Callithrix jacchus: one gene and its partners. The protein of the gene in region 1 interacts with the protein of each later gene in a pairwise test. Links are inferred from orthologs where the notes say so. Each region holds a gene or a part of one and is shown on either strand. Other genes may lie near its edges. The genes, in order: PEG10, EXOSC5 and RTL8C.

Evidence for each region.
Region 2: the proteins of PEG10 (region 1) and EXOSC5 interact in binary tests that used the Homo sapiens proteins (3 or more experiments, as listed by UniProt). The link is inferred for Callithrix jacchus from reciprocal best matches to the Homo sapiens genes PEG10 and EXOSC5.
Region 3: the proteins of PEG10 (region 1) and RTL8C interact in binary tests that used the Homo sapiens proteins (3 or more experiments, as listed by UniProt). The two-hybrid records come from large-scale screens. The link is inferred for Callithrix jacchus from reciprocal best matches to the Homo sapiens genes PEG10 and RTL8C.

The regions. Positions count from the first base shown.
Region 1 is NC_133512.1:54,928,682-54,933,181, forward strand, and holds part of PEG10 (retrotransposon-derived protein PEG10), read right to left. Parts: intron 3,751-4,500; coding exon 2,550-3,750; coding exon of another isoform or gene 1,402-2,549; 3' UTR 1-1,401.
Region 2 is NC_133523.1:36,663,579-36,668,078, reverse strand, and holds part of EXOSC5 (exosome complex component RRP46), read left to right. Parts: exon of another isoform or gene 1-524; coding exon of another isoform or gene 525-603; intron 604-724; coding exon 725-846; intron 847-2,792; coding exon 2,793-2,933; intron 2,934-4,500. UniProt on the Homo sapiens protein: Non-catalytic component of the RNA exosome complex which has 3'->5' exoribonuclease activity and participates in a multitude of cellular RNA processing and degradation events.
Region 3 is NC_133524.1:130,606,842-130,610,219, reverse strand, and holds RTL8C (retrotransposon Gag-like protein 8C), read right to left. Parts: upstream 2,310-3,378; 5' UTR 2,281-2,309; coding exon 1,939-2,280; 3' UTR 1,134-1,938; downstream 1-1,133.

The DNA of each region.
Region 1 (4,500 bases):
CCAGAGGACACCAGAGGTGTCACTGGGCTGAAGAAAACTCTTGTGTTGTCCGTTGCTTTGAGTCTTTGAGTTGCTTTCAGAGGCTTTTCATCCATTGGCAGCTTCACATCAGCTCCATCCTCTAGAGCGACCCTTTTCATTATGTGGATTCTGATCCTTTTGAAGTGGTTACCATCAGGTAATGTGGAGCTCACTAAGGAAGTCCACACTCTCAAGACAGTGTCCAGAGCCCTAATTCCTCTTGTTCAAAGATAGGAGTGTGAATCTGGGTGCTAAATCATTTCCCCTGTCTCCATGCATCCTAACACTACAGTCTAATGAAGGGACTGAAGATGGAATGCCCAGATGCATATGGAGGCAGACACATGGATAGATACTTCCAAAACGTCAGCTGGTGGTTTTCCAGTCAACTAACAACACTCATGAAAATTCTTTCTGAAGTACCAGGACAAGTCTCTTAAAAGGTGGGTAAGGGATTTTGGAGTCCTTTTGATCTGCCACTCTTTAGCCTTCGAAGGTGATTGAGAGGTGGTCACATTTCACAAACCTCTAACACCCCTGGAACCACCAGTAATCTCTGGTTATCAGGTTTAATGCTTTGTGGAAGCCATTATGGCATGATGATGGTAAGGTGTGTGTCAAAGCCAGAGTCCTTGGGTACATGCGATTTGCACCACGATGTGATGGCACACTCTTAACATACAAGAGTCCATCTGAGAGGGCCTGAGGTGTTTCATGTAGCAAGGGTTTTGCCTGCCCCTGGGAGAACCAGTTGAGTTGCTGCTCCTTGAGAATTAACAGAACCATGGAAATGGAGTTTGAAGATGGTGAAGTTTCTAAGGGTGCAGCAGGATGATCACGGAAGCCTTTCCACACTGCACCAATAGTTTTGGCTTCCTTAATAAGGACTCGGTCCTCTAGTGATGTAAAGAGAGTACTGAAACTGCAAGAAAAGTCATGTCCTCCTCCACCTCCTCCTCCTTGTCTCCCCCTCCATGAAGAAATCAGCATTTGTATCAGCTTCTCTGTAAATGTTAAACAAGAAAATTGGCAGCCTATAATTTAGATGATGATAGAGGTTTTAGTAAGTAAAACCCAGACTTCCAGGACTGCCTGGAAAGTAAACTTATTAATTATTTTAGATTGGTAGTCAAGGTGGAAAACTGAGAGATAATTCGTTGGCAAATACTCTGCTGCTCTCAGAAAATGTTGAAAGTCTTTTGGTGCTTTAGGATGTGTGCCAGTCCAGGGTGGCGCTGACCTTCTGTAGCCGTTTCAGAGAGGATGTGCCTCAGGTGGCTTGAAGATACAGTAGCCTAAAATTTAGCACACAGTCACTGATTAAGAAGCTGAAAAGGAATAAATTTTGAGGGCAGAGATCCTGAAGGACATGACAAGTATTTACAGGGTACTGTAAGATGGAGGCGGCGGTGGCGGTGGTGGTGGAGGCGGCGGCTGTGGCGGCGGGTACTGTGGCACCGGAGGCTGGCGGTACCAGTGTGGATTCCAAGTGATCATAACAGGTACATACAGTGATCTTCCTTGTCCGTCTCGTCCCACTGGGTACCAGGCGAATCCTACTGGGTAAGTCGGGTACGCGGCATATGTGGGGTATGTTTGGTATCCAGGTATTTGAGGTACAAATTCAGTGTACGTTGCCAGGTGTGCTTGGTCTTCTAAATTTGGAATAGATAGGCGAGGATACTGATTCTGGATAGTAATATTGTTTGGAGCTCGGCAATCATAAGAAACTTGCAGTTTCCACCCCCTCTTCACCTGGAGAATTTGGGCTCCATTAGGTGCAACTGTTGGAGTAATTAGCCCATCCTTTACATTTCTTGCCACAAAATCTCGAAGAGCTGCCATATCAGATTCAGACAGTGAGTACACATGTCCGCTAGGAATACTGTGTGCTCCAGGTATCATTTCTATGTGAGGGTCAACCAGGCGGTGATCTGGGTAGACGTGCTCATCTACTGGAGTGTACACATTCTGGACATAGTAATACCTCACTGGTTGGTAAACTCTGTATCCATCTACTGGATAATAGAGTGGTGGTTGTGGTGCCGGTGGTGGGAGCGATGGTGGTATTGGAGAATACATCCGGCAGTGGTAGCGGCAGTATTCAGAATCAAAGACGATGGATCGAGTGCTCCAGGTGATGTTGGGATCATGTGTGCTCAGCCAGCGAACCCCCAGGACGACAGGGAAGAATGGAGACTGAGTCACATCAAATGACAGCACCTCACGGTGATCTCCCAGGTCAACTATCAGGTCATGAGTTTCGTGGACAACTGGGCCCGATGCTATGGGGCGCCCATCAATTGCTTCCACAAGTATTGGCCAGTCCTTGATTCTTAGAGGAATTCCATTTTGAGCAACGTATTCATGATCAATGAAGTTGCCAGAAGCACCAGAATCGATCATGGCTCGGACAAACAGGGTGTGTCTGCCCGGAAGATGAATCTGGAGCATCACTTGCAAGTGTGGAGATGAGGCATCATCTTGTGGGGACCTTATTATTTCTGGCCCGGTCGCTGAAGGTCCCTCTACAGCGGGGCCGGGGAGTTTCCCGCCGGTGAAGACTTCGAGGCCTTGGCAGGACAGTTGTCAGCATAGTGACCTCCTGTTCCACAGTAGAGGCAGAGGTTCAGCTTTCTGCGTCTTTCTTTTTCTTCCTGGGTCAGGCGCATGCGGGCACCTCCCACCGGCTCAGTTGGATCTACCTGGTGGTGGCTTGCAATGTGAGGCAACACCAGCGCCCGGGGTGGTGAGCGTGGCTTGCGAGCTGCAGCAGCCCTGGCCAGCCTTCTCTCAATGTGAATGCACTGACCTATCAGAGCAGACAGCGACTTGGCGACCTCGAGGTGGGAGAGCTCCTCCTGAATGTGGTCACTGAGGCCCTCGTGGTACTGGTCAATCAGTGCAGGTTCGTTCCAATCCAGGTCCTGGGCAATCATCTGGAAAGCATTAGAGTAGTCGATGACAGACCCCATACCTTGGCGCAGTCGTCTGATCTTGCGTTTGGCAGCCTCTCGCCTCTGAGGGTCTTCAAAGACATGTTTCATTTCCATCATGAAAGCCGGGTAGTTGTGCATCAAGTAGTGAGAGCGCTCCAGCTTTGCTGAGGCCCAACGTGCAGCACGGCCGGTCATCATGCTTGTCACGAAGCAGACACGGACACGATCAACTGAGAAATCTCTGGTGCTCTTTTCCATGAAGACCTGGCACTGGGACATAAAAGGAGCCAGCATGTCTGGGTTGCCATCAAACTTCTCTGGGAGGTCTTCTGGGCACTCTTCCTCTATTGCAGGGGGTGGGGCAGCAGCTGCTGCAGCACCGCGGAGCTCGATGTCATCATCCTCATCCTCTGGGGTGGGTTCTACCTGCTCTCGAAGGGTAGTGTTCTCCTCTGTGAGCTTCTGCACCTGGTTCTGCAGATTGTTGTTCTCCTCAGACTGCTTGATGACCTTCTCTCTTAAGTTGTTGATCTCTTCAGAGAGCTCATCTCTCCTTCGTTCGGTCATGTTGGGGACACACGCACTCTTATGGCCAGTGTGCTTGGAGTTGTTGTTGTTGTTGTTGTTGGGGGGAGGGGGAGGAGGAGGAGGTGGGCAGTCGGGACCCAGGGTGACGGTTGGGGTGGGAGGAGACCTCCCAGCTGTAACTTCACTTCTGTGGGGATGGAGGCCTGGATCCTGGCCCCCTCTTCCACTCCTTCTTTTTTTTGTTTTCAAAACGCGCTTATTTCTGTAAATAAAGATAAACATATAAATCTAACTTATACCTTCAAAGCAGCAAAATGTAGACACAAAGGATTTGATATTTATATTATCCCTTGTTCTATGTGCTTACTTTAATAATTAGCAAACAAACAAAAACAAACTCTCAAAGGGAAGTTATCAATCAGCACCATACAAAAAGCAAACTACTTTTTGATGTTCAAATGACCTTGTCCTTCTCAAAGACCACCTGTTGATTATGATTCAATAATATATTATCAACAGCATGCTTACCTTTATAAACTATAAGAGAATGTTAAGGCCTCTAAACAAGTAGTTTCCTATTGAAACAGAACTTCAAGGCAAAGAAACTTCAAGGCAAACATGGATACCAAATCAATTATGCAAATTAAAGCCAAAACAATAACTTTTGTTATTAGAGAAGCTAGGCCAAAAATAGTCAATACGACAACTGATAGAAACTCATAAAAACAAGAGGAGAGTCTTAAAATCGCAATGAATGTATTCATCAGCCCTGTGGGGGCAAGGGGGTACCCTGGTCAACTGTCACAATTCTGTTCCACTGCCACAGAGAAGGTAACTGATTATCAAATCAAACAATCACCACCACAGAAACCACAAGACTGCCTAAATTACTTTTCTGACCATAATTTAAATCCCCAAATAAAATTCTCTGTGGGACAGAAATGGCACTGAGCAGCAACATATATATATCAGTTTCCCTTGTCATTATGCAGTCATTCAAGAAATACTAATT
Region 2 (4,500 bases), on another chromosome or scaffold:
GCTAGTCTTGAACTCCTGATCAGGTGATCCACCCGCCTCAGCCTACCAAAGTGCTGGGATTACAGGCATGAGCCACAGAGCCCACCTTTTTTTTTTTTTTTTTTGAGATGGAGTCACTCTTGTCACCCAGGCTGGAGTGTAATAGTGTGATCTCAACCCACTGCAACCTCCACCTCCCAGGTTCAAGCCATTCTCCTATCTTAGCCTCTCGAGTAGCTGGGATTACAGGCACACACCACCATGCCCAGCTAATTTTTGTAATTTTAGTAGAGACGGGATTTTGCCATGTTGGCCAGGCTGGTCTCAAACTCCTGACCTCAAGTGATCTGCCTGTCTCAGCCTCCCATAGTGTTGGGATTATAGGTGTGAACCACTGTGCCTGGCTCATTAACTTATTTTTCACCCTTTTACCCTCATATCCCTCAGTCCCCACTGGCTGGGCCTGCTGGGGTGGGAGTGGGCGTGGGTAGCATCACAGACATGGTACTCTCAGGTCTTCCTCCCCTGGATGGTTCCCTTGGTGGATGCCGGAGGTAGCAGGGGTCGGTGGATGGCAGGCAGGCCCTGCCTCCTTCCCACTGGAATCCTCCATCATCCCTGCAGGTACCTGCACCATCCTAGCCTGAGACTATGGGCCCTTTCCAGGGGGTTTGGGTGGAGCATACGGAGTAAGGTGAGCCACATGGAGGGGAAGACTGTGACAACCTCTCTTCAATTTCCTCAGGCGTTGCAGAGAAGAGCCGGGAGCGGCTGATCAGGAACACGTGCGAGGCGGTGGTGCTGGGCACATTGCACCCCCGCACCTCCATCACCGTGGTGCTGCAGGTTGTCAGCGATGCTGGCTCTGTATCCTTTCCCACAGGCTGCTGCCTCCAGGAAGTCTCCTGATTGCTTCTTTTCTGGTGGCCACATATGCCCTCTCTGCTAGCCAGAAAGCCTTCAAACACTTGACAGGCACCAGCTCACTGAAGGAGAATAAGCATAGCCTGAGTGCTCATGTGCCAGACCCTGTTTGCTGTGCCTTACACACATATCTCATTTAATACAGCATGTGAAACACATGTCCTTCTGATCCCCGTGCAAGTGGCAGAGCCAAGACTTAGACCCAGATCACCTAGTTCTAAGCCCAAGGACCCTGCCAGATGAATGTTCTTATCTTCGCATGTTTCATGTGACAAAACTGAGGCCCAGACAGGGGAAGGGGCTTGCCCAAGGACACACAGCTGGAAGGCAGCACAGGCAGGACTCAAGCCCAGGCCAGTCTGACTCCAGAGCCTGTGCCAATCACCTCTTTTGTTTTTTTTTTTTGTTTGTTTGTTTGTTTTGAGCCAGGGTTTCAGTCTGTCGCCCAGACTGGAGCACAGTGGTGCAATCCCAGCTTACTGCAACCTCCACCTCCCGGGCTCAAGCAATTCCCATGCTTTAACCTCCTGAGTAGCAGGAATTACATGTGCCACCCTAATGCCAGGCTAATTTTTGTATTTTTAGTAGAGAAGGGGTTTCACCATGTTAGCCAGGCTGGTCTCAAACGCCTGACCTCAAGTGATCAGCCCGCGTTGGCCTCCCAAGGTGCTGGGATTACAGGCATGAGCTACTGTGCCCGGCCGGCAATCACTTGTACTCTGCACCTTAGTGGATTTCAGGCTGTCAGTGCTGGAGGCACCCTGAGCAGAGAGCAGCTGAGTCAGGAGCTTGGCCTTGAAAGATCACTGTGTCTGACGTGAGGGAGGTTGAGGTTGAGGACCAGAATTAGGCATTGTAGAAGGCTTTACTGGTACACGGCCCTGAACTAGACAGACGTTTTATGGAAGGGCAGAGAGAGAAGGTATTGTAACTCCATTTTACAGAAGGGGAAAGTGAAGCCCAGAGGAAGTGGTGGGGGATCAGCAGCAGAGCTGGAACTGATTGACTCTAAAGCTGTGGCTTTTGTGTGGCCTGCTAGGCCTGGAGAAGAAACACAGGAGGAAGCTGAAGCAGAGTCAGCTGACTCGCAGCCTGCACTCTCCTCCCATGCTGGGTTCCCTGCAGGCAGCCGTGAGAATGGTTCTTCCTCCACTGCCCTGCCAGCTCTGTCACTGGGGAGTGGCTGCCACCCACATTTCAGGCCTGGCTCTGCCAGTGCCTCCCCCACGTGACTTTGGAAGGTTTCTTCCCCTCTCTGACCCCCTTTGCCAAAACGTGTGGTACGTACTTCAGTACATACCTGTTGAATATTATGATATTCCCTACCTAGCAGATGAGGAGCTTGGGAGTAAGTCACTTCCTCAGGGTCACAAGCTGAAAGAGTAAAGCCAGGTCTGGAACCCAGGGTTACGCAATCCCAGAACCACTTTTAACTATTCTGCCATACTGTCCTGTGACCGATTAGTGATATCTGCCACAGCCATTGGCCCAGTGGAGGGAGGCATGGATCTGCTCTGCTGGCCAGACCTACAGTAGAAACTTCTTAGGCTGGGTGCTATGGCTCAAGCCTGTAATCCCAGGACTTTGGGAGGCCAAGGCAGGAGGATCACCTGAGGTCAGGAGTTTGAAACCAGCCTGGCCAACATGGTGAAACCCTGTCTCTACTAAAAATACAAAAAATTAGTCGGGCGTGGTGGTGGATGCCTATAATCCCAGCTACTCGGGAGGCCAAGACAGGAGAATCGCTTGAAACTGGGGGGCAGAGGTTGCAGTGAGCCAAGATCACACCACTGTACTCCAGCCTGGGCGATGAGTGACATTCTATCTCAAAAAAAAAAAAAAGAAACCAACAACAAAAAAGAAACTTAACCATTGCTCATGGTGCTCAGCTCCTGGCCTGTTGTCTGAATGCTGCCTGCATGGCATTGGTGGATGCAGGTGTACCCATGCGGGCTCTCTTCTGTGGGGTCACCTGTGCCCTGGACTCTGATGGGACCCTCGTGCTGGATCCTACATCCAAGCGAGAAAAGGTAAGTGATGACCAGGGTGGCTGAAAGGCAGAGGCCAGACAGCTCCCCCTCCCTCCCTCCAGGCCTCACTTCTCTGCAGACAGTTGGCTCATGCCACGTCAGTCCCACTTAGCAAGGGCTGCTCCAATCATCGTGGTTCGTTTAGCAGCAAGTGACAGAAACCCAGCTCAAACTTCCTTCGTTGGAAAGGAAATGTATGGCTGGGTGTGGTGGCTCACGCCTATAATCCCAACACTTTTTTTTTTAAAACGCTAGTCAAGCGAAGCAGTGGGAATGCAGAAGGAACAAGGAAATCTGTAACTGGTTGTAATCAATTAGTTGTAAACACCACTGCACTCGGACCAGCCAATCCCAACAATTTGGGAGGCCGAGGCAGGTGGATCACCTGAGGTCAGGAGTTTGAGACCAGCCTGACCAACATGGAGAAACCCTGTCTCTACTAAAAATACAAAATTAGCTGGGCGTGGTGGTGCATACCTATAATCCCACCTACTTGGGAGGCTGAGGCAGGAGAATCACTTGAACCTGGGAGGCAGAGGTTGTGGTGAGCTGAGATTACACCATTGCACTCCAGCCTGGGTGACAAGAGTGAAACTCGGTCTCAAAAAAAAAAAAAGTATGGCCAAGAACAGTGGCTCACACCTGTAATCTCAGCACTTTGGGAGACTGAGATGTACAGATCACCTGAGGCCAGGAGTTCAAGACCAGCCTGGACAACATGGTGAAACCCCGACTCTACTAAAAATATAAAAATTAGCCAGGCATGATGGTGTACGCCTGTAGTCCCAGCTAGTGGGGAGGCTGAGGCAGTAAGATTGCTTGAGGTCAGCCTGGACAACATGGTGAAACCCCGACTCTACTAAAAATATAAAAATTAGCCAGGCAGGCCGGGCGCTGTGGCTCACGCCCGTAATCCCAGCACTTTGGGAGGCCGAGGCAGGTGGATCACGACCATCCTGGTCAACACGGTGAAACCCCGTCTCTACTAAAAATACAAAAAATTAGCTGGGCCTGGTGGCGCGTGCCTGTAATCCCAGCTACCTGGGAGCCTGAGGCAGGAGAATTGCCTGAACCCAGGGGGCGGAGGTTGCGGTGAGCCGAGATCTCGCCATTGCACTCCAGCCTGGGTAACGAGCGAAACTCCGTCTCAAAAAAAAAAAAAAAAATTAGCCAGGCATGATGGTGCACACCTGTTGTAGTCCCAGCTGGTGGGGAGGCTGAGGCAGTAAGGCTTGAGGTCAGCCTGGCCAACATGGTGAAACTCTCTCTCTACTAAAAATATAAAAATTAGCCAGGCGTGATGGCATGTGTCTGTAATCCCAGCTACTCAGGAGGCTGAGGCAGGAGAATTGCTTGAACCCAGAGGGCAGAGGTTGCAATGAGCTGAGATTGTGCCACTTTACTCCAGCGTAGGCAAGTGTGAAACTCCATCTCAAAAAAATAATGAAATAAAACCAGGACCATCAGGATGTCCTCGCTTCACTTCTCGTCCCTGCCTTTCTCAGCTTCATTCTCCGTGGCTAGCATCTTTCCTGAGGCTGGGACTGACCCCGTAAGCTCCCAGTTT
Region 3 (3,378 bases), on another chromosome or scaffold:
TGAACCTCTGCTGATGAGTGGCAAAATTTCACCTATTTAAATGAAGACAGAAAAGCAATAAAGTAAAAACAAACAAACAAAAACCTCTTGTGATTTATTCCTCATTTGTATGTTCTGGAAAAATAACATGTATTGGAAATAAGGCAGAGAGGCTGGGCATGGTGGTTCATGCCTGAAATTCTAGCACTTTGGGAGGCCGAGGTGGGCAGATCATGAGGCCAGGAGATTGAAACCATCCTGGCGAAACTCGGTCTCTACTAAAAATACAAAAATTAACCGAGCGTGGCGACACATGCCTGTAGTCCCAGCTATTCAGGGAGCTGGGGCAGGAGAATCGTTTGAACCTGGGAGGCAGAGGTTGCAGTGAACTGAGATCGTGCCACTGGACTCCAGCCTGGGCAACAGAGCAAGACTCCATCTCAAAAAAAAAAAAAAAAAAAAAAGGCTGAGTGTTGACTGAGTGCTGCCCTACAAGCCCACCCTACAATAATTTGCTTCTATTGGGATGTTGAACTTTTCCCAGAGACAGATGGAGTGGCAGAGACATGTTAGCACAGATTTCAAAGATTAGCATGCAGAGATATGTTGAAGACTAATGTTCTTTCTTTTTCTGCCTATTAATTTCAGGTCATTCATTAAACAAGTTTGTACCTAAATTAACATTACAGTTCTGCATTCCTTTCTCTACTACCTACCCAATTAAAGCAATATAAATGTAAATGCTCTTTCTTAAGAATCTAAGCCATTCTGCTAGTTCCTTGATAATGGGTTAAATAAAACTATGAGAGGTATTCACCAACAATTGTGTGAGGTGTATGGCTTGTAACCACTTGGAGTATATGCTTTCAGTCAGTTTTTTGGAAACAAAGGAAGAAAAAGCACCCTATCTGACTATTCCTTACCTTATTTTGGCCAAATTCAGATTAAGGTTCATTTCCTAAGGGGCACAAAACTGACTTGTTTACAACATTAATCGTCTGGGATTGGTCACCGGTGGGATCTCCATTTGCAGGACACCACAGGACTCTGTGTCAACATCAGCCATAAGCATAGCAGGGAATATAGCTTTTGAACAAGATATGGACCCCATTTACAGAACCAGGGAGGGAAAAGTGCCATATTCATTGAGACCATTTCTTTTCAATAATGTCTGACATTTATTGAAAATAAGGAAAAGACTTTCTCCAGGTAGTGTATTAGAGCAGAGCAGAATGCAGGGGTTACTGTGTTGAACAAAAGGCACACATCAGAGAGACAGCTGCAAACTCAGAAAACTGGGTTATGGTCAAAACTAACTGGTCCACAAGAGAAAATTAGAGACTCGATTTGGCTGCCAGGCACACCTGGGCCTAGGCAGGAACACAAGAGGTCTTTGGGAGTGGGGAGGAAATAGGTCTCGCTGAAGGTGACAGATCCCTTGGGGTGCAGCCAGCGGTCTGGATCACTGTCCAGGGGCTGTGGCCAGCTCAGATACCTCCGAGGTGAGTCCAGATCACTGGGATGCGGTGGATGGCGATGGCAGTGGCAGCGCAGGTCTGTGGGCAGAATGATGTAGTCGTCTGGCAGTCTCGTGGGGTGGAGGAGGGTTGGCAGCGGCGGCTGTGGGTGGTCTAATCCAGTGTGTAACAGGAGCCCAGCTTGCAGCTGGAGAGCAGGACAGCGTCCAAATATGCATGGGTGGGGCTGGCCGGATGGAAGAAGAGGGCGGCGGCAGCTCGCTCCAAAGTGAGGCCCAGGGGCGGCGGCAGGAGCCTGGAGCGCTATTCCTGGAACAAAGGCAAGCACTACGCGGGAGGGGACAGGAGCGCAGGGGACATCGCGGCGGCTCGAGAGGGAGGGAGGCGAGGAGGGAGGGCACCGGTGGCGACCCTGGCGGCGGCCATTGGCACAGCGGACCCTCTCCAGAGCACCCGCCCCCAGGCCCGAGGGTCTCCAGGCCTAGAAGTCCTCGTCCTCCTCCCATCCAAAGACCCGCTTCATCTCGGCCAGGAAGCCCCGGTAATCATTGAGGAGGGGGCTCTCCTTCTTGATGTAGGGGATCACCCACTGCAGAGCGGGCCCCGTGAGGCGGGTGATGAGGAACGTCACCTTCAGGGCATCGCTGGAGAACGTGTTCTCGTCCACGAACATGTAGGAGCCCGTCTGCACGATGAACTCCGGGAGCCGGTCGGTATCGCCGTCAAACGTCTCGGGAAAGGGAATCGGATTCCTCCAGCGACGCGTCGCAGGCCGGATCGGCAAGGCCAGGAGGGCCTTTATCAGCTGCACCCGACCGTCCATCGCTGCTCTTCGCTTCGCTGGACGTCAATGGGCTCCACCCGGCTCTGCAGAGGTCAGTGCCGAGGCGTCGCCGGAAATGCGTGTCCACTAAGGCCGGCCCAAGCTAGAGTGGGCGGGGCCACAAGCGGAGCTCCAGTCCTCTCATGGACTCCGCCCACAAGGCCGAGTGGTCCCTAGTGCGCAGGCGCGTCGTGGGGCAAACACTGGCGAAGAGGGGCCTAAAGCCATCAAGGAAGCGGGGTCGTATCGGACTTGATGGGCGGAGGTTTCCTAAGTTGGCCGGACCGGGAGCAGGGGAAGAACCAGGGAAACTTGGTGGTGTACCGGGCGCGGGGAGCTGGCTCCGAGAAGCTGTTAGGAGCCCCACCTAGTTCTGGTAGTTGAGGAGTCCTGCCGCTGCACTCGTCCCCACCTCTCATCAGCCTTTGGGTATGCTTTCAGGGACCCTTGGCCCTGGACGCCACTAGTATGAGATTCTGTGAGCACATTTTCCTGCTGCTTCTTGCGTCTCTCAACCAGATTATTGGCTCCCTACTTTGCGACATTATTATAATAGAGAAGCCCCACATATTAGCAAATATAATCTAAAGCAGCATATTCAAAGAGGAATGCACCACGCTTGAGGGGATGGATACCCCATTCTCCATTATGTCATTATTAATATCTAGTATTTGATAGCGCAAAAGGATGACTACAGTCAAAATAATTTAGTTTTACATTTTAAAATAACTAAGAGTATAATTGGATTGTTTGTAGAACAAAGGATAAATGCATGAGGGGATAGATGCCCCATTTACCATGATGTGATTATTATGCATTGCGTGCCTGTATTAAAGCATTTCATGTACCCCATAAATACATATACCTATTATGTACCCACAAAAATTATAAATAATTTTCTAAAAAGAATAATAAATCCACAAGCAGTTAATGTAAGGAGGGTTAAATATTAAGAAATACCTTAATTTGTTATAAAATCTGCCCTCTATTCTCTGCCACATTGTGCTGTGCATAGGCAGTTCACAACACTTCAGCTTGCTTCTTCATGGAACAAAGGGAGAAAGTGTCTCCTTGAAAGTTGGAATCATGTATAAACTA